Mus musculus: one gene and its partners. The protein of the gene in region 3 interacts with the protein of the main gene of each other region in a pairwise test. Links are inferred from orthologs where the notes say so. Each region holds a gene or a part of one and is shown on either strand. Other genes may lie near its edges. The genes, in order: Cep170, Ccser2 and Ndel1.

Region 1 (3,650 bases), on a different chromosome or scaffold from region 3:
TTATAGAAAAATGCTGCTAGTTCCTCATACTGATAACTCGACTTCTTCAATTTATTAAATTATAAATAGTAACCAAAAATGCCTAGCCTTTTGGACATTTAATCCTGGCAAATTGTGCTGATAATCTTTTCTTCCATTGCTTTTTGTCTCATTTTTTTTTCTTATAAAGCTCCTTAATGGTCACTTCTTGTGTATTTTTTGTTTGTATGTTTTCTAATTTAATAAATGATATTTCATTAATTGTGTAGAGTTTTGTTACCACACTGATCAATTATAAATGTATATAAAAATTGTCTTTGTTGGTTAAAAAAAAACAAAACCAAGAGGATCTTCATGGTGGCAAGACATACACATGTCTCTGGTACATTTAAATGATATTATTTTCTCAGCTTTCTAACTGAATTGTACCTAACATGGTTATTCATTCACTGAGCCCTGGTAGAATTACTGAAACATTTCATGGAATAGACTTTCATTCCCCTTTTGTTTTATTTAAGACTGTTACCCTAGTTATTCTTTCGTCGGTAAACCTGTTACTTGGTGTTGCATGTCCATAGTCTGCACTGTAGATGGTAGGACATTAGTGCTACTGGCAGAAGATGTATGTTCTCTATCATTGTTAAAAGTTTGACTAAGACAAAATACTTACTATATGGATTAATTTTGTTTCCTTTTATAAATTTAATTGAATTTACCATTCATGTATCTTGTGAAGAAATTTAGCACCTGGATTTGGGGAGGAAAAAAGGAAAAAAAAACAAGATAGAAAACTAAAAGAAAAAGAAACAATATTTTGTGCTGGTAAGGCAGTATGAGTAAAGTGAACCCATTGTCCACTCCATGGCCCAGGGTTTTTCTCGTAAAGCATCTATTTTTTTTTTCCCTATGGAGAACATCATGAAAACAATTGTTAAATACTTTCAACCCTGAAAATAAGATTAGCATAGATGAACATCTACTTTATAGAAGAGACCTATTTGGCGTGCTTATTTAAAAAGTAATTGGTTTATTGAAGATGTCATGCTTCTGTTCGAGAATGAAATAATTTCTCTCTAATCATAAAAATTATAGTACCAGTATTTCTACACTTCTCACTATTCTGTTCTCATAAGGATTTACTTTTGTCCCACTAGTTGGTTGATCGTGTTTTTGATGAAAGTCTCAACTTCCGAAAGATACCTCCATTAGTTCATTCTAAAACACCAGAAGGAAACAACGGTCGGTCTGTTGACTCGAGGCCTCAGCCAGCCGAGCATCCTGATCACTTAACAATTACAAGACGGAGAACCTGGAGTAGGGATGAAGTAAGTAAACTGCAGACTTGGAACAGATGGCGAAGAGGCATCTCTGCTGTGCCATATTAGCTAATGTTAGGTTCCAGGTACTTCACGGGTACCAAATTCATTATTTTGTTATTAAAGAGAAAGAGTTGTTCAAACTAAACTAGTAATGGATACAAGTCAAGATTAATTCTAAGTTAACCTAAAAGCCAGTGTTTGTTAAAACTATTTAACTAATCCTTTAAAAAAATAAGGAACTTGAAAGATAGCCCAGCATTTAAGAGTTACTGCTGCTCTGGCCCAGGACTCAGGTTTGGCCTCTAGCCTCTAGTTTTACCCCATTCTGAACTGAGGCAATATCAACACCCATCATGACAATTTACTCCCTCACTTGTCTCTGAAGAGCTGGTGGTTGCTCTCTTTCTCATCTTTGTATTTGTATTATTTAGTAAATAAATAATATAGTACTCTACTTCCATTTTCCCTTTTATGATAATGTAAATTATATATATGAGAGGCAGAGTCATGATAGTAATTAAAGAGGATAAAATTGGTTGTTTTTAAAAATGGGATGACCAAAATAATAGGGAACATTGACAATTTTTTTTAACAAAGGAACTCTGTTGATGTTTCTTCTGCTCTCTGGAATAATTACATCATCCGTATATTTTAAGTTAAAATTAGCATCAATAGTTTGAGTATAGTGAATTGCTGCTAGTGTTCTTAGGAGTTATTCAATAACTATATGTTACTACACTTTTTCTCTGTTTCAGGTCATGGGAGATAATCTGCTATTGTCATCAGTCTTTCAGTTCTCTAGGAAGATTAGACAATCCATTGATAAAACAGCTGGGAAAATCAGGTACTTGTGTTTCTCTAATCTCTACTTCTTGTTTCCTGTCCATTCTCTTCAAACCTGTGGCCACTGCTGTGAGGAGCTAGAGACGTCACTGATGTGGGTTCTTACACTGCTCTTACCAGTTACTTCAGATATAAAGAGCACTAACACTTTCAGTTCCTAGTACTAAAACCATTTTCTTTCTTCACAAAATATTAGTAAATATTTTAAACTTAGCAAACTCTTGAGGTTTCTTTTATTCAGACTGGACTCTAGTGTCTTTGGATAAGGTGTTAGACTGAGCTGTTACGACTCTGGAAGTCTATGATGCAGCAGCCTTAAAGATTAAAATGTATGTAGACTGTTCAGCCATAGGTCCACATTCTTAATAAAAACAAGTAGCTACCAGGGCTGGTGATAGAGGCCAAAGCCTGTGACAGTTTAATCGCAGGGCCAACCTGTCACTTGTGAGGCCTTGCAATCGATTCCCAGCACAGAACATAAATAAGTAAATAAACAAATAATGTAATTTTTTTAAATCCCTATTTAAAGTGAGATTTGTACCATTTGCTTTCCTCTTTAATTTTAGTAGTGTTTAACAGTATGTGAGCCAGGTTCAAAACTCCAAATGTTTAAGATATATTTACATTATACATACACTATTTAGCATGCTATATGTATTTTTTTCTCCCTTTAAGTTCAAGTCTCAACAGACAGAATCCTGATCACTTGTTCTACATCTTGGGCTTTTTATTAACTGAATACCTTTACTTTTTCAAATGTATCTAAAATATTGATAGGTCCTTAGTATTTGCTTGAAATTGGGGCATACAGCCACCTGACTCACTGTTCACTTGTTGTGGAACCTGCTCACATTCCCAGCCAACTCCTCACCCCCACTCCCCACCCCCGTGGTTAGCTGTCACAAATCCCTATAACCCAGTGAAATCAAAACTATAGAGACTTGTAATTTATCAGTCAGATTTATATCAGTAAATTCTCAACCCACAAAATGAACTCAGAGCTAATTACTGATATAAGCTGCCCACCTAGATTGTACAAATTGTCCTATATTATTCTGTCCATTCTGAGATATTCATAGCTACCTGTGGCTACTGAAAGCCAGGTGGATTGGGTTTGTACTCTTGTTCTTCCATCTTCTCTGTCTTTTCTCTCTCTCCTGTCCTGTCTCTGAAACTCTCAGCCCCACCTTCCTTTTTCATTGTCCAATCATAGACTCTAGTCTTATATTACTCCTGCGCTCACCTGCATATTGACAGCAATCGACATTTTAGTACCTATTGAGTTATGTTTTTAATAGATTTTCACAAGCTTGAATCAATAGTGTTCACTATTATACATCTGAGTTCATTGAATGATTATTTTTCTTAATATAGTTTTGAAATTACACAAACTATGTATGTAGTTTTTGATATCATCAACAAAACCATGAACTTGAAATGCTTGTGTTTTTTGACTGTAGAATATTGTTTAAAGACAAAGACCGGAACTGGGATGACATAGAAAACAAG
Region 2 (3,650 bases), on a different chromosome or scaffold from region 3:
ATTAATGTTATTTAGAAATGTTAATCTTTTTCTTCCCTCAGATTCTGTCAAGTTTTAAGAACCAATGCACCTTATAGCCCATGGAAGAAAAAACACAAATCAAGACATTTTTGGGTTCCAAGCTGCCGAAATATGGAATGAAATCTGTGAGAAGTACATTGCAGCCGATGCCAAATGGCGCCACTGTGACTTTATTAGGGACCTCCAAGAGTAGTAATGTCAAAAGTTACATAAAAAATAATGGCTCTGATTGTTCATTGTCCCATTCATTTAATTGGAGAAAAACAAATAAATATCAACTTGGTTCACAAAATACAGCAGAACTTAATAATATTCAAAGTACACATGATAAACTAATTGAGCCTGAACAACATGCACCTGCTCCAGGAACGCTGGATGGGCATGGGATAAAGGGAGGTTTGAAAAGTGCTTCCTTGTTCACATCCAAGTTAGCAAGACCATCAACCATGTTTGTGTCATCGGCAGAGGAGTTAAGTCAAAAATCTTTCTCTGGACCATCTAATTTGGGTAAATTTACCAAAGGCACATTACTAGGAAGGACTTCATATTCTTCGGTCAATGCGAAGTCACATTTGAATGCGTTTTATGGGAACAGATCTTCTGGTAACGTGCAGAAGCCAAGAGTGAACTCCTGTGCCAGCAGAAGTAGTTCTGGAGAAAGCTTAGCACAGTCCCCAGACAATGCTAAATCTATCACTTGTGAAAAAATGGTAAGGTCACAAAGTTTTTCACATTCCATTCAGAATGTCTTCCTTCCACCTTCATCTATAACCAGATCGCATTCCTTCAACAGAGCTGTAGACCTTACAAAGCCTTATCAGAACCAACAGCTCCCCGTTCGAGTGCCTCTCCGGTCAGGTATGCTAACAAGAAGTTCTCTGCAGTCAGAAGTACTCAATGGGAACGAACATGTGGGGTTTGGTTTTAATAGGCCTTATGCTGCTGCTGGAAAGAAACTGGCCTTATCCAATGGCCCCGCTGTCTCGTCCACGTTGGTTTATAGGATGGCTCATCCCCCTCTACTGAAATCTAGCCGACCTCCATTTTCTGGGCCCATGACAGTTGACAGTAATAAAAACCCACCTGCTGACATGTGCGTAGAGGAAGAAGGTATGGTTTCAGCCCAGGACAGCTCTCCGGGTAAGGACCAAGAACTAATTGAAAATGAAAGTTACCGAAGAGACAATGACCAGACTGGGAAGAACGAGTCTAAAGTTAGGTACCTGAGCGATGACGTGGATGATATTTCCTTGTCGTCCTTGTCGTCTTCCGACAAGAATGATTTAAGTGAAGATTTCAGCGATGATTTCATAGACTTAGAGGACTCCAACAGAACTAGAATAACGCCAGAGGAAATGACTCTCAAAGAAGAAAAGCATGAGAGCAGACCATCAAAGGATATATTTGATTCTCCTAAGGAAAGTGAGCAGGCCTTCAGTAAAGCTGAAGAGTGGATAGATATAAGTGTCTCTGGTAAATATGGCTATCCTTAACTTCCGTGCTTTCCCTGGTGATTACAGCAGAGCTAACATTTAGCCTTGCCTTGATAGACTGTAAGACGCTGTTTGACTGAGGCGGCTCAGGCTGGAGGAGAGCGCAGCAGAGCAGCAACCTTGCGGCTTGTTTCCATCTTGCATTATTTTCTAGGATAGAATCAGTTAAACTCTTTATACTTTGCCTTTTTGGGAGCTGTCTTATACATGCCAAGTCCTGCATTGTGTAGGCCATGGTTTCCAGACAGTTTTCCCAACTCTGCCTGGGAGTGGCTTGCCACTAAACGCTAAACCACACCATTCGCCGTAGCCATCATTGCAGTCTGCTAGGAGTCAAGCTATATCAAACACAAGTCAGATAACATAAGCCTGTTTAGTTGAAAGCTTTCTATCCTCGGGAACAGTTCTGTTTAGCAGTCCTTATGTGGTACTACTCACTGAAGCATTATTTACTGACGGTACCGAGGAGGGAGAGTGAATGCCTATTAGACTTGGCTATATTGGAACTTAGTGCAGGATGAATGTCATTTGTTCATCTACCCAGAAAAAGAAGCCCAAAGGGAGTGCACAAAGGCATGTCTAGTCAAGGGACTGGCTCACTCATAGTGATGCACTAAACTGTCTTCAGGCATTATAAACTGGAAGATGCCTAGAACAAGTTGTCTTTTAAGGACATATCTGTGAGATTAAGTAGTCTGTAGAGAGGAAGAGAGTTTCCTAAACAGTGGTTAAAATGAAATAAATACCTTAAGAAATAGTAAAGGAATGTGAAGATGTAAAAAAATGAGTGAATTTTATGTTTATTACAAAATGTTTTAGTGGCTTATTTTGAAAACTTTGCCTCCCCCCCAAAAAAAAGTTTATTTAGTATTTAGGAAAATGCTACAGTTATAGTTTTTGAACCAAATGCTGTTATAATAGATTGGATTATTAGAGCTTATATTTTAGAAATGAGAAATGACTGTGTTTTATAAATTCACGCTTTTTTCTTTCTTTTAAAATCATTTGAAGACAGGAGTGAATGTACAAAGCATACATCTGGAAACAACTTGATTTCACCGGATACGGATTACAGAGCTGGGTCTTCATTTGAACTCTCTCCGTCCGATAGCTCTGATGGAACGTACATGTGGGATGAAGAGGGCCTGGAGCCCATTGGGAGTGTCCATCCTGTTGGCAGCTATGAGTCCTCTGAAATGAACAGCATAGTATGTATGGATTTCTCTACCCTTTGGGAGATTTCTTTTTATTTCTTTATACAAACACATACAAATACACACATACATAATTTATTATAAAGGCATTAGTGTATTGGTTAAGTTAAGCTAAGAACGTGACATCTACAACACTTTTAGTTGCTGTATTGAGAAGTGCCCCTTGGTGAAGGGGTGTCAGGGATGGTGCTTAACATGCGCTTCCTACAGAAAGAGTGGTGGACTGATGGACCAGTTGATCCAGGACCAAGTATCTGGGTAGGCTGTGCTGATGGACTACCTACCATTCTGTCGCCAGTCCAGTGTGCCTTTAATACAGTGGGAGGTTTTGGCTTTTATTCTTAACAAAGTCTTTTGTAGGTCTGGGCGACTCTCTAGGACAGCTGCCTATAATGACCTAAGCTGCTTTGGCTTTGGGTTTGACCTTGTCTTTGAAGCCCTTATTACCAAGACAGAAGGAGACAGGACTGTCAGTCACACCCTTGCAGTATCTAATTTGGCCTGCAAGTGGCTCTGGTGTTTTCATTCACACTTGAAAATCAGTTTGTCTGTGGTCCCACATAAGTACTAAGGGGATAGGAAAATAATCTCCCTGTGTCTGGAAAGAGGGAACTACAAGTGCCACCACATATTAATGCATAGTTCTTTTATAAAACATTACAAGCAACTTAGATACAGACACGCTAATAAAATGCAACTGGTGTGGTTAAAATGGCTCAGGGTAATTATTTAGGTTATGAAATAGAAATACTCACAAATCAAATTGGTTTATAAATATATAACATTCTAACTGGCTTTCAGGCAGCAAAGCTTTCTATATCTATATAAGCCTGTGGCACGGAGAAACCAGATACTGTTATGAAAGGCTTTTAAGTTGCACAGACATAGGTATGTGCCATTTGTGGAGTATCTTCATCTGGCC
Region 3 (4,403 bases):
TGTACTGGAACCTATGGGAAGTGCCCTGGAATGCTTTACAAAGTTTGAAGGGTACAGCAGCTCTCACCTTTTCTTCTCTTACAATGCTAGTTTTATAACTTGTGCTTCCTTTTGAGACTGTCATCTTCTTTACTGATTTATTTCCCATGGATTTGGTGTAATGGAAGGAGGTCGGGCAGTTTGCTGACTCTAGGGTACTATTCCAGCCTCTGGGCCAACGAAGATCAGAGCAGGGCCTTTGGCTTCTGAGGGCTCTGCCAAGCTAAGCCCATTCATTAAGAAGGGGATGATGCCAGTCCTAGGGGCAGAGCAAATGGGAGGGGCAGCAGCCTGGGAGATGATGTCACTGTTTTCTGAAGGGCCTGGCCAGCCATTAGGTGACTCAGTGTGTTTCTTAGCACCTCAGCCAGGAGGCAGGACAGAAGCTGTGGCCTTTTTATCTTTTCCTGTTTGGGTGGGACGGTTCCTGTCTTGGCACCGGGTCTATAGGAAAGCCTTCATTAATCACTTCTCTGCCTTAAGTCTGATTAGATTGAGCAGAGTTTCAGGTAGGGAAGCCAGACTGAGTTTCAAAGCTGTTCCAGGCCACTGGCCTGTAAAGCAGACCTTTTTTTTTTTTTTTTTTGAGTCTTATGTTACAATATAGATCTAATGATTCCAGCTTCAAATGTTGTTGATGGTTAACAGTAGTGTATGGAAGGCACTTTAGCCCCACGGTCTAGCCTATGTTTCCCTTCTTGTCAGCGTAGTAGTGGATAACAGTGTAGCTTCTGAGTTTGAATTTGCGCTGTAGGTGAGTGACCTTGGGGAACTTCATCTTGCTATTTCTTACTTGTAAATGAGAGTGACGTGGGGTTACTGTGACAAAGCAATGCACCCCAGTGACTGGTACAACTACGGGCGCGACAAACCGCACAGTGAACTCATAATCTCTTTTTAAAAACCCTATATCCTTCATAGTGTAGTTCAAGACGCTCTAGACCCCAGTAATCTTCCTCTGCTCATCAGTTTGGGTTCTCCTTAAAAATCCATCTCGCACCGTTTTTTGTTTATATTGACCTTTCCCAACCGTATACGTGGGCTCACCTTGTCTTTCTTAGGCTCAGCATATGTCTTATGCTATGTTGTTTTGTCTTCAAACTTCAAAACCAATCCCAACAGCACTGAAATAACAATTACATTGAGCATGAGACAGCTAAAGTTCCTATAGTTGTTCCCCAAATGCCTTTTTTAAATTTAAGTTTCTAGTTCCAGGACAGTTGTGTATTTCTCCTGTCTCCTTCGTGAGCTAGTACTCTATACTGGCTTTATACTGGCTTCCCATTTTAGCCTAGGGAACTACTCTCCTGCGCAGCACAGCTTCCGGAGACAGCACAGGGCTAAAAAACCCACCTCCTTCGGGGGTCCGGGGCGGCGCCTGCGCAGGACGCTGTCGCAGATCTCACGTCAGCGCGCAAAGCCTAGGTCGGCTCCACGTGACTCTGGCCTCCCACCGCTCCGCCCCGCACGCCAGCCTGCTTCTGCGCATGCTCTTGACTCCGCCCCCGTGCGTCACAGAATGGCCTCCGACACCCAGGGAGCCCCTGACGTGTCGGGGAGGAGCCCGGTGCGGGGATACGCGGAGTGGAGCTCAGGGCTGCGGAAGGGAGCAGAGCTGAGCGGCTGGGCGGGCCTGGCCAGGCCAGCGGAGCAGAGACGTCGGCCGAGCGGCGGCGAACATGCGCTTTTGACACATTGGCGGTGAGCTCCCGTGCGACGCAGCCTCTGGGGTTCGAGCCAGGCGGGCAGCGCCGAGGCCTGCCCCGGGGGAGCCTGCCTGACCGCCGCCGGGCTGGGGCTCAGCCCGCTGGGCCAGGCCGGGCTTGGGTTCTGGGGCGGCCCGTACCGAGACAACTGTTCCAACCGCTTTAACTGTCCCCTCCTTACTGGCGGAGGTGTGGCCCACCGGGGGCACCTGCGGGAGAGCGAGTCCCGGGCTTCCAGAGGAGGGACGGAGGCCGGGACGTGGCACCGGGGGCTGAGGCGCTGACGGCTCGAGGAGTGGCCCAGTTGGGGTGGCGGAGGCGCGCCCAGCTTCTCGCTCCACCCATCCTTGATTCCCTGGAGCTGCCGGGGTGGTTAGGAGCCGGGCAGGATCTTGATTTCCCAGCGCCCCAGATGCGGGAGGCGAGAGCAGGAGCAGCCCGCGTTGGCAGAGACTGGCAGTCTCGTGACTGCCTGCCCCGAACTGCTAATCATCCTCTTTGGAGTTGGGGAAAGTCTCACTAACCAACCGACCCCGGTTGCTTGGATTCGCTTCTTATTTTTCTCTGAGAAACGATGAGGTGACTAACACTTTTAAGTTTAAGGCGAGTGAGGGTCCTTTTCATTACCCGGGCCCATTCCTGTAGCGTTTGTAAACATTTTAGAACATTTGCTGTTTGTACTTGCGACGGATACTGTAAGTCACTTTTTGCTGGATGGGGAAATTGAACCTAGGTACAGGAGGTTGGGGCAACTGAGTGATTTTTATTTGGGTTCCACTAACTGGTGAGAAGTTTAGCTTGGGTTACAATTTACCTTTCTAAGCTCAGGGTTCTGGTTTCTGTTTTCATGAGATTTTTTTTTTTTAACTTCTTCAGCCGGAAAGAGGACTGAACATTGGACTTGTTAAAGATAATACCAGAAGTTACTAGATGACTTATTTATTTTCGAGTAAATTGACCAAAAAAACCAAAAAAACCCCAAACCAAACAACAACAACAAACAAAAAACCCCCAAAAGCTCAGTTACTAGAAAAATCTTATCCTGAAGCTTGCTCATGAGTGGCTGGTTGTTAGTCTGAAAATTATGTTGCTTTCACTGCACTTAAGAGGTAGGGTAATGTCTGCCAAATCAGAAAGCTGAGAGGGCAAAGCTCATCATTAAGTTAAGGAGTCAAAAGAGACCAAAGGACACCCAGTTGGGGGTATCTCTTCTGAATTGTTGTTAAAATCTTAGAGTAGGAATACATAAAGAACAAAGAAAACCTTTAGCTCCAGTTAGAGACAAACTTAATCTTAGAAGAAGTTGCTAAATCTGCAGTGCCTTGGTTTTGAATTGAATTGAAGTTGGATCCAGAGCATTTGAAATAAAAAATAGACCTGAACATGCTTTTATGAGACCAACAAAATTTATTTTCATGCGTATTTTAAACCATGCTAAAATAGACTTGAGGATTGAGGACTTAAGTTAAAATTACTTTCTAGGCACTTCATAAGGGAGAGAAATAAGGCCTATTTCATTCTGCATATATGTTAATAGTCATGTAAAATTAATTTTCTTAGTGCTGTACAGAGTATCTTTGCCAGTAAGCTCTGTTAGATGATAACTGTTTAAAGTTTCAGTGAGCTAATTGTCAGTTGTTCACATCTAAAGGTCGTAGAGTGTGAGCATGTCTGCTGCAGAAGTTGTAATTGTACACTCACACTCCATGTGAGACCTAGAATTAAGGAAGATGGAGAGGAGCAGAAAGTCCTTGTCTGCTAGCCTTGCAGCTGTAGAAGATTGTAGATATGCCATTTGAGCACTTTTTAAATCAGTGAAAGATTTGACATTGGCTAACTTTCCCCACTTACGTAATCTCAAGCGACAGTGAGCCTCTCCGAGTACCTGGAGGCAAACTCCACACACACAGTTTTGAGATCACCTGCAAGGGTAGCACATTCGTTACTTGAACCTGGTTCTTAGAAGGATGAAGTTGATGAATAGGTGTAGGGATAAAGCTGGGTACTGCCAGGCGGGAAGCAACAGATACAGCGTGTGATGGGAGGGAAAGAACTTGTTTTAGTCTAGCGCATAAAGCTTGTTCCAGGAGAGACGTTAGGGATGCTTTTGTAATGAAAGGAGTCATCTGCTTATAAATTTGGAAGTCTGTTTACTCTGGTCTAACTTAAAGGTCCACTTCTGGCCTAGTAGTTTCTTAGAGTTGAATTAACATTTATGTGATGTTTATGCATCAGGCTCTGTTACACGTACTGTGCCAATAGTAACTCACCTCATCTTCCAAATACAACTGATCTTCCTGTTTTATAGGTGAGGAAATGAGGCACTGAGAAGTTGAATAGCTTGCCCAAGGTCTCTCAGCCAGGCCATAGTTTGACTCTAGGGCCTGAGCTTTGCATGCTGATTTTTCTGGCTAAATTAATTTTCTTTTAAAACCTTATTTCTGTGTGTGAGTGTTATATGTGTGAATGTGGGTGGCTGCAGAGGCCAGAAGAAGAGCTAGAGCTAGAGGGAGGGAGTTGCCCTGTGTTGGTGCGGGGAACCATATTCTAGTCTTCTGCAAGAGCCACTGAGCCACTTTTCTAGTCCCCTCAGATTTGTTCTTTTAAAAAGTAGATATATTTATTATATTTAATTTTGTGTAGGTTTGTGTCTGCATG

What was found.
Region 1: the proteins of Ndel1 (region 3) and Cep170 interact in a two-hybrid assay, tested with the Homo sapiens proteins (2 studies listed by BioGRID and IntAct). The link is inferred for Mus musculus from reciprocal best matches to the Homo sapiens genes NDEL1 and CEP170.
Region 2: the proteins of Ndel1 (region 3) and Ccser2 interact in binary tests that used the Homo sapiens proteins (3 or more experiments, as listed by UniProt). The link is inferred for Mus musculus from reciprocal best matches to the Homo sapiens genes NDEL1 and CCSER2.

Annotation. Positions count from the first base shown.
Region 1 is NC_000067.6:176,737,573-176,741,222, reverse strand, and holds part of Cep170 (centrosomal protein of 170 kDa), read left to right. Parts: intron 1-1,133; coding exon 1,134-1,304; intron 1,305-2,053; coding exon 2,054-2,142; intron 2,143-3,601; coding exon 3,602-3,650.
Region 2 is NC_000080.6:36,937,656-36,941,305, reverse strand, and holds part of Ccser2 (serine-rich coiled-coil domain-containing protein 2), read left to right. Parts: intron 1-41; 5' UTR 42-80; coding exon 81-1,494; intron 1,495-2,525; coding exon 2,526-2,722; intron 2,723-3,650. UniProt on the Homo sapiens protein: Microtubule-binding protein which might play a role in microtubule bundling.
Region 3 is NC_000077.6:68,850,279-68,854,681, reverse strand, and holds the start of Ndel1 (nuclear distribution protein nudE-like 1), read left to right. Parts: upstream 1-1,546; 5' UTR 1,547-1,740; exon of another isoform or gene 1,741-2,324; intron 2,325-4,403. UniProt on the Homo sapiens protein: Required for organization of the cellular microtubule array and microtubule anchoring at the centrosome. May regulate microtubule organization at least in part by targeting the microtubule severing protein KATNA1 to the centrosome.